2 linked regions of the Tamandua tetradactyla genome follow. Each later gene encodes a partner of the first gene's protein in a complex. Links are inferred from orthologs where the notes say so. Each region holds a gene or a part of one and is shown on either strand. Other genes may lie near its edges. The genes, in order: RIPK3 and ZBP1.

What was found.
Region 2: RIPK3 (region 1) and ZBP1 share a complex: the UniProt entries of both Homo sapiens proteins name them as parts of the AIM2 PANoptosome complex. The link is inferred for Tamandua tetradactyla from reciprocal best matches to the Homo sapiens genes RIPK3 and ZBP1.

The regions. Positions count from the first base shown.
Region 1 is NC_135340.1:30,329,255-30,336,756, reverse strand, and holds the start of RIPK3 (receptor-interacting serine/threonine-protein kinase 3), read right to left. Parts: upstream 3,194-7,502; 5' UTR 3,006-3,193; coding exon 2,989-3,005; intron 2,782-2,988; coding exon 2,641-2,781; intron 2,459-2,640; coding exon 2,149-2,458; intron 1,702-2,148; coding exon 1,556-1,701; intron 1,456-1,555; coding exon 1,409-1,455; intron 1,200-1,408; coding exon 1,035-1,199; intron 930-1,034; coding exon 862-929; intron 646-861; coding exon 298-645; intron 166-297; coding exon 105-165; intron 1-104. UniProt on the Homo sapiens protein: Serine/threonine-protein kinase that activates necroptosis and apoptosis, two parallel forms of cell death. Necroptosis, a programmed cell death process in response to death-inducing TNF-alpha family members, is triggered by RIPK3 following activation by ZBP1.
Region 2 is NC_135327.1:27,816,226-27,823,952, forward strand, and holds the start of ZBP1 (Z-DNA-binding protein 1), read left to right. Parts: upstream 1-4,362; 5' UTR 4,363-4,518; coding exon 4,519-4,552; intron 4,553-6,980; coding exon 6,981-7,205; intron 7,206-7,727.

The sequences.
Region 1 (7,502 bases):
CTTCTAAACACCTTTCTCACCAAGTTACTTGGTATCTATAAGTCTTGAGGAATAAGCTGGTGGAAAAATTGAGCAAGGGAAAGAAGAGGGTGGGAGATTGGTACCTGGAATTGAATTTGTCTGATGGTTCAAGGGAGACCAATTATTGCCTTGTTTCTCAGCCCCCTGCAGACAATACAGAGCTTTTCAGGCCTGTTTCCCCCACTATACATCCCCCTCAGCCCCAAATTTTGTCCGGCGAAAGGACAAGATTCACAGGAAGTCTCAGTCCATTCCCTAGACCCACCGATGTCTTACCTGGTTTTCTTGGGGCCAAGGACCTGAGGCCCAGTTCGAAGCGAGGCTGGGCATCTGGTTTATGAAAGATGAACTCTCTGGAGTTTGGGGAGGTCGGGCATTTGAATCTGAGGATGTCCCTGCTGACCTGGCTTCTTGAACCTGCTCTTCCTTTGGCTTGATTCCCTCAGTAAATTTGACATATTCTTTAGGATCAGAGCTGGGGTCCTCCTCCAGGTGCAGATTGTTCAGGAATTCAGAGATCATAGGATCAACTCCAGCACCATCCATCTCCATCCCTCCTGGGCCCAGTTTTGGGGCAGAACCCCTTCTGTTGCTGCCCCTGTGCTCAGACAGAAATGTCCTCACCTGTAGGGACAGGAAGAGCTTGTCATGCACGGAAATGGGAGAACCAGAGTGTAAAGCAGAGGAAGTAGTCTTGGGTCATATTCTGCTACCTGGGAATTTGCAGGTAAGGTGGGGAGAGTGGATATACAGAACTGTCATTAAAGGGAAGTCACTGGTGGCCAAGGAGACCATAATGTGCTTTCCCTGACCAGCCCCTGGGTGGGGTTGGGGGCTCACCATGGAGACAGAGGCATCCATCTCATCTTGCACCTGAAGGATGACTGCAGCCATTTTTGGTTGGCAGTCTGGAGAAATGGCAAAATGGCTAGGTGAGCTAAACATCATTCCCAGGGAAAAGCCTGCAGTGAGAGCCAGGCCTGCCCCTCGTGCTAGCTGAATGGTTAGCTCACCCTGGAAGGAGGGCCTGTCACTGGGCTTGTGGCTCCAGCACTGCTGCATTAATTCTTTCAGGTCTTCCAAGCCAGGAGTCTTGGGCCCAGGTTGGGGCAGCTCTCTTAATGAGGGCCGGCTCTGCTCCTCACACACTAATATCTTCATCAGTGTTGTCTTGGGCACTGGGGCAAAGGGAAAGGGGGAGGGAAGAGATATGAAGGGTAACCTGCTTCATCATTAAAATCACCAGGGAATATGGTCCAAGGGTTTTGTGGGGAGGGGAGGCATGAATAAGGCAATGTGCAGAGATGAGCAGGAAGGGAAGGGCTTGGGGGTTTGAGGGAGGAGGGCATATGGAGTTAAGGATCCTGGAGTCCACCTAGAGTCTTACTCTCAGCTTCTTTTCCAGCTAGCACTTCCCACATGAGGATCCCGAAGCTGCAAAAGACACAAACCTGAGGCTTGGCCCAGCCACTGGCAACACCCTGCTCCCAGAAAGATGTTGAGATTTGGGATATGTTTGGGGTGTGTACCTTACCTGAAGACATCACAGGCTGTGGAGGGATTCTGGTTTACATCAGCCAACAGTTCTGGGGCCAGGTAGGCTAGGGTGCCTATTGGATTGCTGAAACTTTTTCCTGACTTTGAACTCTTCTGAAATGTGGATAGGCCAAAATCTGCCAGCTGCAAAGGAAGGGAAAAAGAAGGAGGTAGGGGAAGGCATCAGGCAGCCTCCAATGCACCTTCCTGCTCACTCTACTCCTAACAGTAGATGCAGCTCCTGCCTTGTAAAGGGTGTGTGTAAGGTCAGAGGAAGGGGAGGGTCAATGGGGCCATTGGGTTGGAAGACTATGTCTCCTACTGGATGGGGCCAGATCAAGGCCTGAGTCTTTTGGGCTAGGTCAGTCATGGCTCTTTGTGGGGACTGACTGAAGGGGCGGGGATGCCTGAGGAAATAACTGGGGTGGGTCAGGATCTGTTTCCTGGTAGGACAGAGGTGGAAGTTCCTGGGTGGGCCTCGACCCCTGAACAGGACTGTGTCTGCAGGGCTCCAGTGAACTAGGGCAGCACAGGGTCTGTGTGACCGGCCCAAGCTGAAGCAGCTGTGGGGCAGGATGGGTGTGGGCTGACCTGAGCGTGCAGCTCAGAGTCCAGCAGGACGTTGGACGGCTTGAGGTCTCGATGCAGGAGTACGGGGTTCAGGCTGTGCAGGTAACACATCCCCAGCACCACCTCCTGCAGGAGGCGGCAGAGGAGCGGCCAAGGCCGAGGGCACCCGGGTTGCAGCAGCTCTGTGAGGGAGCCGTTCTCCATGAACCGAGTCACCAGAGCCGGCCTGCACCCATACGCAGACTTCAGTTTCTCAGTGACCCCCAGCAGGAGCAGCACAAACTGGTTACGCAGACTGCCCATGGCCTTCACCTCCTTGGATAACGTCTCCCTACAGGCCAGGAGAAGGGTGCTGAGTGGGCCCAGCATCCTGGAGAGATTTTTCTGCTCTTCTCCCCTTCCCCCCAATCCCTTTCCTCCCCGCCCCCGCCTTCCCTCTCCCAGGCTGCAGGGCACAGCATCTCGGGCCTCCTAGGTCAGGACCCGGTGCTGTCCGACGCCGACGTCACTCACGAGTTCACCAGCTTGAGGGCCACATCGTAGCCCCACTTCTTATGTCGGGCCCTGAACACCACGCCGAACCCGCCCTGGCCGACCAGCGTCGGGTTTTCCAATTCCTCGAAGGACACCTTGGGGGCAGGGGCACCTGTGGACCTTAATGAGGTTGCCTCGTCCACCAGGCGGCCACGGTCCCACATCGGCGCGGCGCCCTCCCCTCCTCCGTGCAGTAGCCCTTCCCCCCGCCTCTCCGTCTGTCCCGGCCTGGATTCGGGGCGCCACGGTGCTCCCGAAGGTGTCCGCCCGGCGCCCTACTTGCTGGACAGTCAGTGTGCCCGGTCGACACCCCCACGCCCCTCTCACCATATTCCGCTAGACATCAGGCTGGGCTTCTGGAAGTCGTGACCTGCAGGGATGGAGGTCTTCGGGAGCCGGACGTGGGGGGAAGGAGGGGAGGTCGGGGGCTGGGAAAGGGTCAATTTCTGGGTCCAGCAGGGACTCTGCCTCCAGGGTTTCTTCCGCTACGCTACACGGAAGGAGTGAGCACACTTCCTTCCCCGACAGGCTCGCTGTCAGAGTCCCGCCCCGGGGGTGGAGCAAAACTAAAGCTACTGCAGTTTTTGTTTTTTCTAATTAGTGTTTCCTCGAACACCTGCTGCATGCCAGGTCCTTATTAGGGGTCACTGGGCGTTTAAGGTGCTGCAGAAGGTGTCGTCACCTTCCAAGAATCCCCAGTCAGCCCTCAGTCCTACCGGCTGGGTCTCTCCCTTCTCCCAGGAGATTCCCAGCTCCACCACTTGCCAGGCCTGCAGGGCAGTGCTTAGAAGGGTTTTATGGGCCTGCTGCTCAGCTCTCCCACAGTTGCCCTAAGATCATAGCTAAGACTTCTGTAATACTCACCCTGTGCCAAGCACACATATTAGCTTGTTTAATTCTCACATTAACCATAAGGGGCTAGGCACTGTGTTTATCCATTTCTTTTTTTATGGAAGAGGAAACTGAGCCACCTTAAGTTCCTCGCTCAAGCCAGTAGGAAACTGGCTCCTGCCTCTTAACTGTCAAGTTACTTTATTTTCACGTAGCTTCAGGGCTGTACCCCTCAGCTGGTGGTGAAAGTGTCTGGGGAAGGTATGAAAGGTCCACTAAGACAGTGAAGGGTCCCCATCTGTAGTCTGCCCAGTCCCTGATAGCTGCTCTTGCTGAGGCAAGCACCCAACATTGGTAGTGATCTGTCTGCTCTGTAAACTGTAAACTGGGACTCCTGGAGCTGGTGAGACCAAAACCCACTCACTCCCAGGGCATTGAGGTCAGTCTAGATGAATTAGCTCAGCCAGAGAGTTGCTGACATTGTGGTGTCCACTGCAGTGGAAACACCTTAGAGTCCTCCCTACCCTCATGCCAACTTCTCCATGCAAATCCCCTGACCAGTTCGTATACCTGACAAGCACATGTTCTGGGCTCCAGGCTCTGAGAATGTTGGAATTCAGGAAGCCTTAAGTATTTAGGTAGCCTGGCCATGGATAGAGATTGTAGGAAGACTCAACCCTGGAGGGCTCACCTTGATATGCACTTTACATCCTGTCCAGTGGTCTGTGGGCTCTGTTAGTTGGAGAAGAAGTGCCCAGCAGTTAACTGTGGCTTCCAGAGCAATTGGAAATTTCAAGATGTACACCATGGTTTCTGGTGGGATTTGCCCATGCTTTGGAACAATTTTATTTTAGGAATTCCTTGAGGTTACTTCTTAGACCATAGTTTCTTTACAAGACAGTATATGGTAAGCACCCAATAATTATTGGCTAAATACAATGACTGAGTGAATGAATGAACAAGCAAAATTTGGGGAGCTTCCTTAAGTCTCTGATCATTTCAGCTACAGCTCCATATGCATTGGGAAGAGGGTAGATTGGGCTCCTTTATGGTTTGGGGACTCTCACTTGCACAGTTGATGAAATTAGTCTGAAACAGACTTTATTATAGAGATATAATATTGAATCCAAAGACAAGAATAACAGCAGGTCCTCAAAAAAAAAGCCTCGAGTCAGAAGCTGGGAGCCGTGCAGAACCACAGTCACTCCCTTGGTGATTCTTTTTTCAGGAGAAGACCCTGGGATCAATAGTTCCACTTAAAAGGAGCAGGCAGAAGGGAGTTAGAATTGTGTTTAAAGACCTCTTAATGCTTGAGTCTCTTTAGATTGGGACAAGACTTTGAGGATAGGGAAAAGCTACTGTGGGACACTGGGGTGAGGTGGAATCAGGGTTCTGTTACTTTTTGACTCAAAATAAATGGAACCCCTTTCAGAGAAGGAGGGGTGAGTAGCGGAGCTTAGAATGAGTGCCTTCTGCTTCCAGTGGTGATGTGGTGGTGGTGGTGAACCAAGAGAGAGTTGATTCCTGATTTTGGAGCTCTGGCTTTTCCTGAGGCTTGGTTTTCTGACCCCAGTAGCCCCAGGCTTTGGGGGCAGTGTTAGATGTTTTTCATCCTCTTTGGTTCTCTGCTCCTGATAGTTTCTGATTACCTTTAGCCCATGCCTAGTGCCTGGTCTGATTCCCAATCCCTGTATATAAGATGTGTGTATTTGGGGTGGGGGTGGGCAGGAGGGTGTGATCTGTCTTTTTGCATATTCTAATACTAACTGATGCTCATCTCTTGTTAGATTAAGAGGATCTGGTTATACATAGCAGGAAAGGAGAATTGCAAACCAATATCCCTTATGAATATAGATGTAAAAATCCTCAACAGATTACTAGGAAACCGAACCCAATGGTACATTTAAAGGATTATACACCATGAGCAAGTGGGATTTATGCCAGGAATGCAAAGGTGGTTTAACATAAGAAAATCAATCAGTATAAAACACCACATAAATAGAATAGAGGAAAAGAACCCACATGATTATCTCATTTACTCAAGAAAGGATTTGACAAAACTCAGCCCCATTTCTTGATAAAACACTCAGAAAAGTAGGAATAGCAAACTTCCTCAACATGCTAAAGGACATAAATGCAAACCAATGACTAATGTTGTACTCAATGGTGAAAACTGAAAGCTGTTCCCCAAAGATTGGTATGCTGGTTTGAAAGGATTTATGTACCCTAGAAAAGCCATGTTTTAATCCGAACCCCATTTTGTAAAGGCGGCATTTCTTCTAATCCCTATTCAGTACTGTATGCTGGAAACTTTAATTAGATCATCTCCACCGAGATGTGATTCAATCAAAAGTGAGTATTAAATTTGATTAGGTGGAGACATGTCTCCACCCATTCCAAGTGGATCTTGATTACTTTACTGGAATTCTTTAAAAGAGGAAGCATTTTGTAGAAAGCTTCAGAATGACATAGCCATGAGAAGCAGAGAGTCCATCAGCCAGTGACCTTTGGAGGTGCCTCCTGGGGCGCTTCATGAAATGAGCAGCCAGAAGAGAATGCTAGCAGACTTTGCCATGTGCCCTTCCAGCCAAGAGAGAAACCCTTAACTTCATCGGCCTTCTTGAACCAAGGTATCTTTCCCTGGATGCCTCAGATTGGACATTTCTATAGAATTTCTTTAAGTGACCTTAGGACTATAAACTTGCAACTTATTAAATTCTCCTTTTTAAAAGCTATTCCATTTGTGGAATATTGCATTCCAGCAGCTAGCAAACTAGAACAGTTGGGAACAAGACAAGAATGCCTGCTTTCACAACTGCTATTTGACATTGTACTGGAAGTTCTAGCTAGAACAATTAGGCAGGAAAAAGAAATTAAAGACATCTAAATTAGAAAAGAAGAAGTAAAACTATCTCTACTTGAAGATTATCTTACACATAGGAAATCTCAAAGAATCCACAACAAAGCTACTAGAGCTAATAAATGAATTCAGCAAAGTGGTAGGGTACAAGGTCAATATGCAAACAATCAGTTGTTTTTATATATCAACAATGAACAATCTGAAAAGGAAATCAAGTAAAACAATTCCATTTATTTTAATATCCAAAAGAATAAAAATACCTGGGAATAAATTCAACAAAGGAGGTGAAAGGCTTGTACTCCCCAAATTACAAAACCTTGCTGAAAGAAATTAAAGAATACCTACATATATGGAAAGACATCCCATGTTCATAGATTGGAAGGCTTAATATTGTTAAGATGTCAGTACTACCCAAGGCAATTTACAGATTCAACACAATCTCAATTAAAATTCCAACACCCTTCTTTGCAGAAATGGAAAAATCAATCATCACATTTTGTATGAAATGACAAGGAGCCCCAAATAGCCAAGTCAATCTTGAAAAAGAAGAATAAAGTTGGAGGACTTATACTTCCTGAAAGTCCTGGGCTGGGCGGAGGTCAAAGATGTGAAGCAGAGACAGAGACATGACACTGGCAGTGGGAAAAGCAAGTTTTATTAGCAGGGGAACACAAAGAGAGGTGATTCAAGAAATCAACTCCTGCCTGCCTGGATTTGAGTAGACATTTTTAAAGGGGGTTGAGGGTAGGGTTAGGTGGGTTTTCTTTGGTGAGTTCTTGCAAGTGAGGGATTTATCACAAGAATACAGCTGCTGGAGAGGATCAGAGAGTTTTGAGATGTTGATTCTCTGTGGCAGTAGTTTTCATCCTTGCTTGATTCTCTGGTTCAGCTCTCACAATTCTCAATTTCCAACTTTACTACCAAGCTGCAGTAATCAAAACAGTGTGGCATTGGTTGGCATATGTTGACCAATGGAATCAAGTAAGTGAGAGTTCAGAAATAAACCCACAAATCTATGATCAATTGATTTTCCACAACAGTGCCAAGTAGTTTTGACAAAGGTGCCAAGTCCATTCAATAGGGGAAGAATAGTCTCTTCAACAAATGGTGCTGGGAAAACTGGATATTCATATGCAGAAGAAAGAAATTG
Region 2 (7,727 bases), on another chromosome or scaffold:
GTTTTTCCTTCTAGCTGCTCCAAGACACAGGAGGCTCAAAGAAATATCAACATAATGTTTCAGCAGTCATACTCATTTGTTAAACCCTATCTTCTCTGTTTTAATTCCTCCCTCTCCTTTGATCCTTCTCCCAATCTTTAGGGATATTTGGACTATGGCCATTCTAACTTCTTGTTGATAATATGGGATAGAGGGATGGAACTAGTTGATGTTCTTGGAGAGGCTGGCCCCTCTGGGTTTCAGGACTTATCTGGCCTAGGTGCCCATCTGGAGGTTGTAGGTTACTGGGAAGTAATCTTAGTGCCTGAAACTTTGTAGACTCTCAGATAAAATCATAAGTGTCCTTTAGGGTTAATAGGAATGATCTTGGCTGGAGTTTGGCAAACCGTGGTAATGAGCAATATCTAGCTGAAGCTGGAGTAGCCTCCAGAATAGGCTCTTGACTCCACCTGAACTCTTTTAGCCACTGATATTGTATTTTGTTCCATTTCATTTCCCCCTTTTGGTCAGGAAGGCGTTGTCGATCCCATGCTGCCAGGGTCAGACTCATCTGTGGGAGTCAGGTCCCACGTTGCCAGGGAGACTTTCACCCCTGGATGTCATGTCCTGCCTGGCAGGGAGGGTAATGATTTTCCTTGTAGAGTTGGGTTTAGAGAGAGAGAAAGACCAGATCTGAGCAGCAAAAGAGGTTCTCTGGGTGTGACTATTAGGCATAAGTATAGGTCGGCTTAGCGTCTCTGATACAGAAATAAGCTTCATAAGAGCAAACCTCAAGATCAAGGGCTTGGCTTATTGACTAGGGAGTCCCTAATGTTTGACACAATATCAGGGGTTTCCCCAGTGGTAAAGCTTAATAGTTTCATATGTTTTCTCCAGTTTTTCAAGGGGCTTTGCCAGTACTTTTTTTTGGGGGGGGGCATGGTTCAGGAATCAAACCTGGGTCTCCTGCATGGAAGGTGAGCATTCTACCACTGAACCACCTGTGCACCCCACTTGCCAATACTTTTTCAATATATATGTCCTGCCTTTCTTTTTTTCTTTGCATGGCAAAGAAAAAACCCAGGTATCCTGCATGGCAGATGAGAACTGTCTGCTGAGCCACCACGGCCCGCCCTTGCCAATACTTTTTAATTATCTGCCAACATATTCTGGATTGTATTCTGGTATTATGTCAAGCTATACAGTCTTATAAGCTCTCATTTCCTTTCTGGGCTCCATATGTTTGGGTTGTTTAAATGAGTGATCCAAACAGGTTGAGTTAGATTATGTGCTACAGAAAATGTAAGTTTTGGACAAAATAAACCTCCCTTCCTTTGGTCTCATATAGTAGGTGACGTTCTAAAATGCAATGTCACCCTTACCCCTGTATTCTGATTTACCTTAGTCCTGACCAGCTTGGCTTCATTCTTATCTCTAATTGAAGCCTGATCTCTTTATTTCTTAGCTTCTTGAACAGTTGCTGTAGGTAGCACTGCTGACTTGCAGAGCTGCAGAATTCCAACTCAGTCTCAGGTGTCACACAGGTTGCCCAAATTCCAGGGAGATACCAGGTTATACATAAATACCACAGCATCTCAAAACCTAGAAATAACATTTACAGCTCTAGACTAAATGTGACTGCTGTAAGAGTTTACAATTTAAGCCCTAATTTTCTTATAAGTATTTTCTAAAAGAGACCGTACAATATTTTGTTGTTGTTGTTTCTGGCTTATTTTGCATAACATTATGACCCCAAGGTTCATTCACCTCACTGCATGACTGCATTCCTTTCCGTAGCCATACGATATCCCATCACATGTACATACCACAGCTCTCCGTTCTCAGTGTACCCTTCAGCCACCTCCATCCATTGAGGATCATGGGTAATGTCCAAAGTCAACAACCCCTGCTTCACATTATCCTCACTTCACTGCAGGATCATCAACACTCTCAATTTTAGACAATTTTCATTGCTCCAAAGAGAAAAATAACCAATAGACACATCCTCACTGTGCCAGTTTGAATCTGTGGTGGACCCCAGAAAAGCCATGTCTTTTAATTCTCATTCAGTATTGCTGGTTGGGAGCATTTTGATTGTTCCCATGGAGATGTGACCCACCCAATTGTGGGTGGTAACTTTTGATAAGATAGCTCCATGGAGTGGTGACTCCGCCCATTAATACTTTAAAAGAGGAAACAGTTTAGAGCCGCGAGAAAGCCACAGCAGAGCCTAGCAGAGCCACAAGGTTGAGAGAAGTACAGAGTCCATAGGCCAGCAACCTTTGGAGCTGAAGAATGCCCCTGGGGGAGCTTCATGAAACAAGAATCGGGGAGAGGAAGCTAGCAGATGTTGCCATATTCCCAACATGCCTTCCCAGTTGAGTGCAAAACGCTGAACCCATCAGCCTTTCTTGAGTGACAGTAACCTCTTCTTGGGGTCTTAATTTGGACATTTTTATAGCCTTGCTTTAATTGGGGCATTTTCTTGGCCTTAGACCTGTAAACGTATAACTTATTAGATTCCCCTTTTTAAAGCCATTCTGTTTCTGGTATATCGCTTTCTGGCAGCTAGCAAACTACAACACTCACCGAATGGAAAATCCAAACCTTCCCTTAACTCTTGTCCTCCCCACCCCCCAATTATTTACCCCTGGCATTGCTGTGGGACTGTTGATGTCTTCCTGTTAAGTATAGACCATAGTATGCAATGGCAATGTCCCCCTATATCCCTCTATTATTGACCCTTTGTACAAGATTCATACCTTTGAAGTAGTTCATGCAAGAACTTATTTATATTTGTAGTGTTAATCAGTGGGATACGTGGCTCCATACGACCCCTTTCAATCATGTTCACCCTCAGTACGGCAGTATTACTTATAAACCCACTAATGAACTGCCATTCCCTTACATTTAAATTCAACCTCACTAACTGCTCACCCATCTCTAACTTCTATGTATCTCTAGGTCCCCTATATCTTATATTATAAGCCTCTGAGTTTGCCTTTACCGAGGTCATAATAGCAAAATCATACAGTATGTATTCTTTAGTGTCTGGCTTATTTCACTCAGCATTATGTCCTCAAGTTTCATCCATGTTGTCATGTGCTTTGGGATCTCATTTCATCTTATTGCTGCATAATACTCCATTGTATGTATGTGCCACATTTTGTTTATCCACTTGTCTGTTGATGGACACTTGGATTGTTTCCATTTTTTGGCAAATGTGAGTAATGCTGCTATGACCACTGGTGTGCAAATGTCTGTTTGTGTCACTGCTTTCAGCTCTTCTGAGTATATACAGAGTAGTGGTATTACTGGGTCATAGGGCAACATGATATTTAGTTTTCAAAGAACTGCCAAACTATCTTCCATAGTGGCTGGACCATTATACATTCCCACCAGCAGTGCATAAGAGTCCCAATTTCTCCACCTCCTCTTCAACATTTGTAGTATCCTACAAATTTGTTTAATAGCAGCCATTCTTGTAAGTGTGAGGTGACGGCTGAGTTCTTAACCCTCTCGGCTGCCCACAAGACCCTTCACCTTTCTGGATCTCAGTTTCCCCTTCTAGAAACTAGAAGAGAACAGTGGCTCTGAACTGTTTTGGGGTCATTGGCTCCTTTGAGAATTTGTACACGCAATAGTTTCTCTTCGGAGAGAAATGTATTTTGGCACCTTAGGATGGACGGATTTGTTTTCACTGTGACCCAATGAATTAGGTACTTTTATTAATCCCACTCGACAGGTGAGGAAACCAAGGCCCAGAGAGGTTAGATAACTTTCCCAAGATCACACAGCCAGCAAACTGTGGGACTGCTCTTGAACCCAAGCAGCCGGGCTCCAGGCTCGCATTCCCCAACACCGAGCAATAAGGGCCCTGGGGGTGGTTTTCTATTCTGTGATCCCCAAATTACTCGGTAGGTTCTGTGGCGTGGCTGGGAGCCTGATGTGGTTCTGTGGGCTGAATGTGGTTCACACAGGACTTCAGGAAACACAGCTGGAAGACAAACCACGAGGCAGCCAGGCTGTCTCTGCCAGGTACTGTCTTTATGACCTCTCTGGCCTGTGCCTCGTCTCCTCTCTGAGACAAGAGGACAGAGCCAGTCTGGGTGAGATAGAGGAGCACAGGAGATCGGAAAGCACATTGTAGGCGCTCATTCGAGAGGGCTGTCACCTCGGTACGCATGTGAGCACCCACCCAGGTGTCTCAGCCTGGGTGCCGGGGTTAGGGAGGTCGGGGCGAGCAGCCAGGTGTGCAGGCGGCTCAGGCAAGGGCCCAGGGCTGCTCACTCCGATCCAGCCCCACCCAGTGAACATCTGCCCTGCTGGTTGATCCTGCAGTTTTATTTACTTAGAAAGTCAACCACAGAAGTTTCATTTTCTTTTTCATTGGGTTGGCCGGAAACAGAGGGGGCAGGCCTCCATTTGCAGTGTGAGGAGCTGATAGCAGCAGCTGAAGCTGACCTCCCACCCGTGACCCGGCACCCACTCCCAAGGCCAGTGCCAGCTCCCCGCAGTCTCTATCCCGCTGCTGTCAGCATGGCCCAGGCCGCTGCGGACACAGCCACCAAAGGTACAGTAAGTTCTTCCTTCCCAGGAGAGCGGGGCTCCCGGGAGGGGACATGCACTTCTCTTTCTGGCCCAGATCACGAAGGTAACTGTGGCACAGGAACCAAAGGCCGGAGCAGCAGGACAGGGCCTTGGGGGCGCACCTACGGCAGGGCTCCCCCAAACAGCCCTCAGGCTGGGCGCGGGGAGTGCAAGGATTCCTGCCGAGCAGACAAGCTGACGGGGCCAGGCTCCTGAGCTGCAGGGTGACTCGGGGCAGCCCAGCCGGCTAGCGTTAGAGGCAGGATTTGAACCACCCCCTCTTCATACTCATGTTGAGAAACAAAGAACTACCCACGTGTATGTTTTCTCCCGTTTCCAGCATCCCCTCAGTTAGTTTCACTCTGAGAAGAGTAACAAATCCACTGTACTGGGCAGTTGTCTGGGGCTGTCTGCTAAGCGCCCGTGGCCTGTGGGCTGAGGGTGCTGCTTGGGGTGACCTCATTCCATCCTTGCCACAAACTTTGAAGCAGATGCTGTTATTAGCCCCATTTCACAGACAGGGTAAACCAAGGCACAAAGCGTCCACACAGCCAGTAGGCAGCAGAACCAGGGCTCAAACCCAGGAAACCCATCACCAGAGGATAAAAAGGAAGAAAAGAGAGAGTTGGGAGGGGGCTCGGTGGGGTGCAGCCCGGAGCCCCGGCTGGTCCCTGAGCTCATCCTTCCAGGGGTTGGGAATGCGCTGGCCTCTCCCATCTTCCTTCTTCTCCGGTTGATTTTCCATCTATCTCATCATTTACATCTGGTCCATTTTGCAACACAGCAGGCTGGAACGGGGTGCCTTCTCCTTCACCCACGTCTCTGACCCCACCTCTTGTTTGGGGTCAGGGTTGGGGCTGGGGAAGAGGGAAGTTGAGCCAACTTGCTGGGCAGACTCTTTAAGAAGCAAAACTCTTGTCAAGACTGCAGCCAGTTTGCTGGGATTTCTGGCCCACTGAGGCTGTGATTTGGGGGTTGATGAGGTGGTGCTTCCAGGTTTTCTAATTGCTCTTTACCTGAACCCAGGGGTGGGGTCTTTCTGAAGGACCCTGCTTTGAACTTCCTCAGGGTTCTTGGGGTTAAGAAACTTCCTGGTGACATGCTGGGCGGCCCTGAACCGGCTTTCTTGCTGTGCTGTCCCTGTCCCTGCCCCTGTCACGGCCCCCTGACCTGTTTCTGCCTTTTACTATCCTTCTACTCATTTCCCTGAGTCTGATTCCTCCTTGCAGAGCAGCTGATTTTGATTTTCAAGAACCTGCCCCAGGAGGAGCAGGGGCCTCTGAGAGTCCCTCCATGAGCCTCGTAGTGTTCTGCTTAGGGCTCACTAAACTCAGAGCAGGAAACTGAGGCACATACGGACTGGCCCAGGGGAGCTGCTCATGACCTGCCCCTGGGGCATCAGGCAGATGTCTGTACAGGTGGAGGATAAATTTATTCACTTACTCACTTATTCACTCATTCACAACTCATTCATTCAACCGTCCTTGGCTCTAGGCTAGTCCGTGATGGTACCAAGGTGAGTCAGGCCACTGCAGTGGGGGGGTCTGTGGGGACACTCTGTAGGGACCCACATATAAACAGCAGTCTAGGATGGTTTCCCAAAGGAGATGGCATCTAAGCAAGACCTGGGATGTCGAGTAGGCTCTGGAGGCGGGGTAAAGAGTGATCTTGACAAAGGGAACAGCACGTGCCAAGGCCCGGGGGTGAGAGGGACTGAAAGGAGCACTGTCAGGTTGGTGCGTGGAGCAAAACTGGGGGCGGTGGGGCAGTAGGCCGAGCTGGAGTGTGTGGGTCTTTCAGGCTGTGGGAGGAGCTGGAATCAGACTCTGGCTGCTGAGCCAAGGGGAACCCCGCTGGAGATGGGGGCTCTGGCCAGGAGCCCGCTGCTGTCACTCAGGCAAGAGACCTGGGCTGTGGGTACAGCAGAGAGAAGTGCAGGGATTCAAGGGGGAACCTGGCAATGGGTCTCTCCAGGACACCACAGTCACATGGGCACTGGGAGAAAGATCATTCCCGAACGCCTGCCAGGGCCCTGGCTTGGGGGAGTCACGATCGACCGGGTTGCCGAGTTGGCAAAACCACGCAGAGGGGCGGATTCCGCAGGGAGGACGACAACAGGGATCAGAGAATGCCACGTCGTGGGGCGTGACAGGCGGGGACTGCCGGCCTCTCCCCCCAGCACCCGTGCCCCTTCCCCCTGCCTGAGAACAGCTGAAAGCTGCCTTCCCACCTGCCGTGGGGCGCTCACATAGGGCCCTGCCTGGAGCCCCTCCCTTCCCAGGCCACCAGCCAAGGCTGTTTGGGAGCAGTCTGCCTGCCCCGCACAGCGGGCAGAGGCTGCCCGGGCCTCTGTGCCCTTCCTCTGCCCGGGCCCCCGTTCTCCCAGACCGCCCTGCCCCTTTCTCTCCTAGGGGACCTGGAACGGAAGATCCTGCAGGTGCTGCGGGACGCGGGCTCCCCCGTGAAGACTGCCCAGCTGGTGAAGGAGTGCCAAGTGCCTAAGAAGGAGCTCAACCACCTTCTCTACCAAATGGAAAAGGAGTCCAAAGTCGCCCTGGCGGCCCCTGCCACCTGGCACTTGGGCAGGACTGGGTCTAAAGTGGCAGTTCCCGCAGCGCTGGCAGAGCCCAGCGGCGGTAACCTGTCATCCCGGGGGGAGGGGGAGGGGGAGCCAGCCTCAGCCCGGACAAGTCCCATTTGGGCCCCATTGACCTGGGTTCAAATCCAAGCTCTGCCACTAGGGGGCGTGATACCCAGTCACTGTGCTTGATTTCTTTTTCTGCTCAGTGGAGGTGACTATAGGGCTACTTTTTGGGAGAGAATTAAAAGCAAAGGGCTCAAACCCAGTGCCAGTGCACAGGAGGTGTGCAACAAAACATTACAAATAATGACAGAAAGTGATAATGATAACAATGATAGAATGAATCATAATAAAACAAAGTTTGCATCACACTTGATGCAAACTTTCCAGTTTTACAGCTGATGGAAAAACAGCACTAACATTTGGTAAATACTTAAATGGGCTGTCGCTGTGCTCAGAGATTCAGACTCATTCGTTTTAACCTTCGGAACAACCCTGGGTGGGAGGGAGCTATTGTTCCTCTCCTTATTCTACGGGAAAGGAAATCAAGCTCAGAGAGGTTAACTAACTCCACCAA